2 linked regions of the Coturnix japonica genome follow. The main gene of each other region encodes a partner of the protein of the gene in region 2 in a complex. Links are inferred from orthologs where the notes say so. Each region holds a gene or a part of one and is shown on either strand. Other genes may lie near its edges. The genes, in order: HOMER1 and GRM5.

Evidence for each region.
Region 1: the proteins of GRM5 (region 2) and HOMER1 are in contact, whole or in part, in a crystal structure (PDB 1DDV), measured with the Rattus norvegicus proteins. The link is inferred for Coturnix japonica from reciprocal best matches to the Homo sapiens genes GRM5 and HOMER1. Residues at the interface, in XP_006229721.1 of Rattus norvegicus: Thr1155, Pro1156, Pro1157, Phe1160; in NP_113895.1 of Rattus norvegicus: His12, Phe14, Trp24, Thr70, Ser71, Gln72, Lys73, Phe74, Gly89, Phe90.

What each region holds. Positions count from the first base shown.
Region 1 is NC_029547.1:12,910,519-12,914,391, forward strand, and holds the start of HOMER1 (homer protein homolog 1), read right to left. Parts: upstream 2,870-3,873; 5' UTR 2,811-2,869; coding exon 2,806-2,810; intron 1-2,805. UniProt on the Homo sapiens protein: Postsynaptic density scaffolding protein. Binds and cross-links cytoplasmic regions of GRM1, GRM5, ITPR1, DNM3, RYR1, RYR2, SHANK1 and SHANK3.
Region 2 is NC_029516.1:168,275,558-168,279,375, reverse strand, and holds part of GRM5 (metabotropic glutamate receptor 5), read right to left. Parts: intron 3,034-3,818; coding exon 2,094-3,033; intron 1-2,093. UniProt on the Homo sapiens protein: G-protein coupled receptor for glutamate. Ligand binding causes a conformation change that triggers signaling via guanine nucleotide-binding proteins (G proteins) and modulates the activity of down-stream effectors.

The sequences.
Region 1 (3,873 bases), on a different chromosome or scaffold from region 2:
TTCTCACTGCAGCTTCAAGTATTTCACTGCAGTACAACTTCAGAGACCAGCAATGTACAGCTAGGTATGCACCACTCAGCTGCTTCATTTGTCAGATGGTACTCAACCAGCCAAGCAGGGTCAGTTATACTGGCAGAACAGGGAATTCTTTATAATAACCCATAAAGTAAGACAGCCATTGCTGATTAGCTAAGCTATTATTTCTACCCAGTTCCATTTTTTTCTTTGCCCAGACCATGGATAAAAGCAAACTCTCCACCATCCAGATACTACAGATCCACCATATGAACTCATGCATGATAGCAACCGAATATACAAAGATTGTTCCGAAAGTAATGCATTCTATTTATTTCCATGGGGACCTCAACAGATAGAAAGAGCACAAGAACTCCATTTGATAGAGAACATTTTCTCTATAAAATGCACTTTTTCAGCACAGTCGCTACCATTAGCCAACCTGCACGGAGCAGCAGATCAAGATGCTCTTCATTTCGTGGTCTGACAGCTGTGCAGAGCTGTCCCCAGCACGATTTGTCTTTCACACCACTACTGCCACTGCTGAAACACACCTCCCACTGCCTCACTCTGCTCACATCCACAGGTTGCTCTTCACAAACTTCCAGCAAGTGTCTGTGAATGTCAGTGGGTGCTACCTTTTCCACATGGGGGAATTTAATGCCACACCTTCACTTCATTCACACTTCCATGTCAGACGCCATTTTGTCAGACCGCCCCTCTACTGCCATCTGGCACAGCAACAACATGGAATGGATTATTAGGGGGACAGTTCAAGCTTTCCTGCCATACCACTGACACGTGCCCTTGATGCCGTGATCCAGCAGAATAAAATTGAAGGCATTACTTTTGAAGCAGTCCTCACATGGATGAACGCATGATTATCAGTCATTTTCCAACCTGCTTCTAACGGGCTTGATTTTAAGACCTTAACAGAGTATCAGAAGACTATTTTTATAACTGCAGTGTTAAGATTCTAGTACACGTTGGTCTCAAAATAGCCCAAAATCCATAGGGAACTGCATTTAGATGCTAATTCAAAACAGCTTTTGAAAGAAGACTCTGAACATCAGCAAATGCCCAGTACATAACTGCAGGTCTAGAGGGTTGGCACAGGCTTAGATGTGCTCCCCCAGACTTGCATGGCAGGGGGGGCCACCAATAACACACGCTCAGATTTCTGGTTATCTCCATCTTGCTAAGAGACTGTCTGCAAAGGAACTCAGTTGCCATACCTCAACGTGCATCGTCTGAAGGCTCTTCAAAACACAAGCCAACAACTTTTGCCATCTTGACCTCAGTGTGCCAGGATATCACCCTGAAGTCATCACAAAAACATCCCTGCATTATTTCTCCAAATATTTTTTTTTGCATAGTTCTTCAGTATTCAGCCTTTTCACCACTCTCTACAGATACCAGTTTGTTCATTGAGAAACTGCAGCACTCATGCACCAGCAGCACTAAGTTTATTAAATGGAGGGGGCTCTCAATCTTTTTATATATATATATATATTTTTTTTTCCAAATCAGACATTTGTCTTCAGAAAGCTCTGTTAGAGAAAAAACAATGCAACAATGCTTATTACTCAATGTTTTTCAGCATTTGCAGCAAGCTACACCTAAACAGCATGCCTGCAAATAACATTGATTTTAAATAAATGTTATCTTTTCCCATCATTCGAATTTTAAAAGGTGAAAAATTCTGTGCCTGTCCAGCAGCTTTAAGGATAAAGCCCCCAAATGTTGTACTACCATTCAGCCTTTAGCCAGAAGATATGACCACTTCCCTGAAGATGCAGACAACTGCAAGCTTGGGATTATTCTGTACATATATACATGTATATATATTTAATGGAAAATAAAAGCTGAAGACTAGCAAGACGTTCCTTTCTACACCTTGCACAGTGAGCGTGCCCCGCTGACTCGGAGTGCTGGGGAACAGCTGCCACCGCCACCACAGGCAGGTTCGTACATTGGAGAGTTCCATGTGCCTTTGACAGCTGGAGGAGCGATGCACCTGCAGCTCCACGTTACTGCACTATGCTAATTTACACCCAAATTCCTGAATGACCCAAAACCAAACGACTCGAGTTGCAACTCTTACACACTGAGCTACATACAGCGGTCTCAGAAAACCAGAGTCTTGTTGATGCATTAAAAGCCTGCCTCTACATTGCGGTTATCCAAATCACGTTGTGCTTCTGCTGCTTTGGAACATGGACGAGTTTCCACTCCATCCGGAGGTTACCAGGCAAGCACAGCAGTAAGCGTTATTTCATCATCTCTCCGTACAAAGGCGAGATTGCAAACGTGGAAAGTTTCCACAGGTATCTATGCCACTTTTATGTCTCCTAGACCTGATGCAGCTAGCTTCATTTTGAAGATTTAATTCCTTCCCATCTCCTTAAAATTTCGGGCGTATGTCCCCACGCGTTCGGGGGACGCGCTGTGAAGCGGATCTCTTTAAAGCCTCCTTCACATGTGGGCACCTTACACGCCCGATATCCCCCGAAGGCTCCAGGACAACCAGCCCCGGCCGCGCTGCAGCTCTCTCCCCACACCGAGCCCGAGCCGACCGCTCTCGGGCCCGACCGGGCAGGGCAGGGACCCGGCGGGCAGTCGACACGGATCCGACACTCGGCGCTACGGCGGGCAGAGCCCCGCATCCGTGCTCAGCGCCGATGGCAGCGGCACCCGCTCCCCGCTGCTCCCCGCTGCTCCCGCCCCCACCCCACCCCACCCCGCCCCGCCGCAGCCCGGCGGCCCCGCGAGGTGCTTAGAGGTGCTTACCCCATGGCGGCCGGCGGCGCCGGGCACCGGCGGTACCGCGCGGGCCGCGTCCCCGGGGCGCTCCTCGCCGCGCCGCGCCTCGCCGCGCCGGCAGCTCCGCAGCCCCGTGGCGGCGGTGGGGAAGCTCCGCCGGGCTTCCCGCGCCACTCCGCGCAGGCCCGCGGGTCGCGCCGCCGGCTGGCAGCGGCCGAGCCGAGCCGAGCCGCCCGCACCCTACGGAGCGCCCCCCGCGGGCCGGGCTCGCATGGCCGCCGGCCCCGCCGGGCGTCCGCAGGCAGCGGCTCCGGCCCCCGAGCGGGCGTGTGGCGGCGGCTCGGCGTGCGGACGGATCCCCAACCGCGGGTGGGAGGAGGCAGGGAGAGAAGGAGGGCCCGAGAGAGGGAGGCGCTCCCCTTTCTCCGCGCGGGGCTGGCGGCGGCTGCGGCGCTTGTCGCCGGGCGGTGCGCGGCCACCGAGCGCTCGGCGCGGCGCCTCAGAGGCGGAGCGGGACGGGGCGGGCGGTGCGCTCAGGGCTCCGCGCCGCCGCTCCCCCTAGCAGCGCGGCGGGCAGCCGTGCATCTCCCCGAGGCGGCAGAGCGAGCCGCGGCACCGGCATCGGGCATCGGGCTGCAGGCGGCGGGCACCGGGTCGCCGCGATCCGCCCGCCCGCCCCCGGCTGCGGAGACGCGGGGCGCCGCTCCTCCTTCCCGCGGCGGGTCCGCGCCTGGCCGTCACGCCTTCTGCTGCGGACAGCGGGCGGGCATCGCGCCGGGGCGCGGCGGGACGGGCGCTGCCAGCGGGCGGGGGGCGGGACGGGCGGCCGCCGCCCGGCCGAGGGTGCGCTGCGGCGGGGCCGCGGGCTCAGAGCCGGCAGCGGGGTGGGACCGGGTGGAGGAAAGGAGGGACGGAGGGAGCGGGCGGGGGACGCGGGGGGAGCGAGCAGCGCGTCAGGCGGTGCCCGGCTGCTGCGAGCCGCTGCCTGCGGCCGCCCGCATCCCCGCCTCCGCCTCACACCTCTGCCTCCGCCCGCTGTGGCGGTGGGCAGGCCCGGCCGGCAGCCGACCCACCGCCCCGGGGCTGAGACCGGGA
Region 2 (3,818 bases):
TAAGTTCATTGGCACCATCACAGTTTAACTAGCTTAGGCATTTTGTTGCAGTTTTAAATGTTGATGAGTAATGCTGGTGGCATGAAAGCTTTTCTCCAAGTGTCAGATAAAATGCTCTACTTTTTTACATATAGGTAAATATGCCAATATATCAGCTCTGTGCTGCTTTCTCCATTCTTACACAAATGCATCTGATGCTCTCAATGCTATTTTCAATGCTACTGTTACTATCAACAACCTATTGTGTTTTACTAATAAATCTATACTGCAGGCGTATTCTACGCATTGAGGCATAAAGAAATGGAAACTAAGTCCTCCAAAAGAAGAAAATATATTTTGTCTTTAAGACACTCTGTACTCTTTTTTAAAACTGAGCCTTAACACATGACAAACAAACCCTTTCCAAGCCCAAGATCTTTCTGTTATCTGTAATTTTTTCTTGCCAGGAAAAAAGTTGTGAGATGGCACATGAGTACTGAAATGAAAATGAGGATAGATAAGAATGAACTCAAAGAGGAAGAATATCATCCTGTTGAGGACACTATCAAGAATACCTCTTTTACCAGCCCAGAAGTGGTTTCAGGGCTCCTAGCTTCAACATCTCATGTCACACAAGCTTACAGAGTCTGTACAGAGGTACATTTCAGGTAACCATCAAATAAGCTGATACAGGATCTACCATTTTGAAACAGCATCCTAACTTTCATCTTGAAATGAAATGAAAGATAATGCTGTTTATAGATAGTAAGTATAAGATACCTTGTAAAAACCCATCATTTTCTGTGTCAATTAAAAATCACTGAAAGAGAATCATGAGTAATAATCTGGCAGAAATCAATAATCATTTTGACAAAAACTGTCCTCTGGGTAATAATACTAATATTCTCCCTTGAATCAAAACAGTGGGTCACAGAGAAAATGAACTACAAATTGCCCATGTTCCATGCAAACTTCACTGTGAACAATGACGTGTCAAGAAGTATTCATATTATCAATCATAAAACCCATGTGTTTCAGCAAGGAGGAAAATACAGCTATCTGTCACTTCTGGGCGAGGCGCATAGAGCTGAGGAATGATAAGATTTCTGCAATATTTCTGCATTCATATAGGCAGAATTTCATGTTTATGCTAACAATTAAATAACCCCAAATCACCCTCATCACCCCTATATCAAAAGGGTAAGAGATCAAAAGAATCACTGGCTTGGATGCACTCCTGCACAGTCTATGAGTCCAGACTGTATTTCTGCTTTAGAGTTCTCCTTTTCCCCTGGTGTTCACTGACTGTAGTTTTTATATAATGCACATACAAGCTGTCATCATGATCACTGAATTCAGGTGTTTTTGTGGGAAGAAACAAAGAAATAGCTGACAAGAGGGTATCTGGTTGATGGCAGGAAGAGTAAGTAGCAAAAGTGGGGCCAGTGAGCAATTAACTTTGATGGAGTTAGGAAGATGAATATAGAAAAAGATATCAAGATAGGTAAAGAAGAGAAGATAGGTAAGGACAAAGAGAAAGAAGTCAGGGAGAGACAACAGAAGAAAGGAAAATCAAGTAATAGAAGAGGAAAGGCATAACAGAAGAGTCACATGAGACAAATCATCAGATGCCTGAGTGGCCACTCATGATGCCACTTGTGTTGGCTACTCCACCTTGATTGTGTAGCATTAACAGCCACTCTGTTGTCTTCCTGCTGTGGCTAGAGAAAAAATACAGTGACTGTGCAATTCATTCAAGTAAAAGAGCTTGCAAATGAGTGCATTAAGGACAAGGCAATTAGTAATATTTCTTGTTCTTTTTTTCTCCCTCCTAAGATCTTACTTCCCTTCTTGCAAGAAGTGTACAGTTGACACAGCCAATGCTTCCATCTCTGTGATTGTTTGTCCATTGCTCTGTGACCTGCTTTTGCACAACATTTTGACTAAATCAGACCTGTAGCTGTTATAGATGTGGGAAAGTGGACTTTTCCTCTCCCAGTGGAGAGGCAAAGGGAATTCATATATATCCCTCTGTCCATTCATTATTAGCATTATTACTTAACCCTCAGAAAAACATAATAACTTCCCCACACTCACACATTAGCAGACTTTACCTAAGTGTTTCACCAGATGATCCCCTTCTTTTCCACAGGTTCACCAGGCTGCTTGAGCGGCTTGCAGCCGAAGATGACTTTCCATCCCCTACATGCATGCGGACCACAGTCGATGTGGTGAATGCGCTGCGTACGTTCCTTTCAGGCTTAGCAAGGATGATGTAGACCTTGGGCACAAACATACAACCAAGGGCCACCGTGGCACTCAGACTCACTGAGAAACACATGGTGATTATCTTGTAGTTGCTTCCAAAATATATTGGCACAAAAGCCAGCCATATGATGCAGGTGGTATACATTGTAAAGGCAATATACTTTGCTTCATTGAAATTAGCTGGGACATTTCTTGTCTTAAATGCATAAAAGGTGCAACTCAAAATTAATAATCCATTGTATCCAAGGGGGGTTACAACACCCAAGTTGGTGGTGTTACAAATCAAGTAGACCTCTCGGATGCTTGGGTAATCATGCATTATATCGGGTGGCTCCATTATAAAGAGGGCAACAATTATGCCTAATTGTATACATATCAAGATAAATGCAATAACAAGTTGGGCACAGGCACTCATGAATCTGGGTTTCTTTGTACAAATTTTCTTCTTGCTTCCAGCCAGGATTCTTGCAATGCGGTTGGTTTTAGTTACTAGAGCAGAATAACTCATAGCTGGGGAGAGACCGATGCCAATTCGTTGAAGATAGCAGTAAATCTGTTGAGGTTTTGCGATGAGACAGAAGGTGCACAAATAACCCAAGCAGATGCCAGCTAGAATGATGTAGCAAAGTTCTCGGCTGGAAGATTTGACCACTGGAGTATCACGGTACATTATGAATATAGCTGTAACAAACAAGGTTGCCAGCAGACCCAGGCACGCAAAAACAACCGCTGCAATTGGTTCAGGATCACCCCATCTGAGATACTGGACCGGGATGAGGTCACAACCTACAGGGAACAACAACAACAAAAAGTAAATTGAAGCATGTAGGAATTAGATTGTTTAATGACAATGTTATAGATTGCCCCAATTTTTCTCTTATTTTCTCTTTCATGAAGTTGCTGTTACCATCAGTGTAAGCTAGTATTATGTTGATATAATGGCATACTAAATATTTTTCAGTGACAGCTTAATTCAGTAACACACTTTATCTGCTTGGAGTCTAACAATCTAACACTATGACTGAAAACATGTCCAAACAAATTAAGAAGTCACCTCTCATCACAGCAGAATATATATATATATATATATATATTTAGTAATTTAAGGACAAATTTCATTATCAAGTTGCATTGCTTTGATGTGAAATGCTCAAAAGTTGTCTGTATAGCACATGCCCTTTGAGGAGCAGATATCAATGATATGGTAACATACACTAAGTATATTAGTACTTAATTAATGACTATGCAGATATTCTAGCCATCAAGAAAAAGAGTACTTCTTTCTCATAGAGAATAAATTTTTATCCAGAAGGATTTTTCTGGGATTAAAGATGCAGATATACATAGTTTGGGCATGCCCCACAGTGCTCGTTTCCTTATCTGTCATTTGTGCTTTGAAGATGTTTGAGGAATTAATCCCTCATATAGTTGACCAAATCAAACTGATAACAATAAATTAGAATCAAAGCTGAATTAAAAATGTTCAGCCCCTTCTAAGGACATTTGGTGGTTTTTTTTTCAGTTTCTGTATAGGTTAACAAGTCATTCTTTGTACCCGTCTGTCAATGATT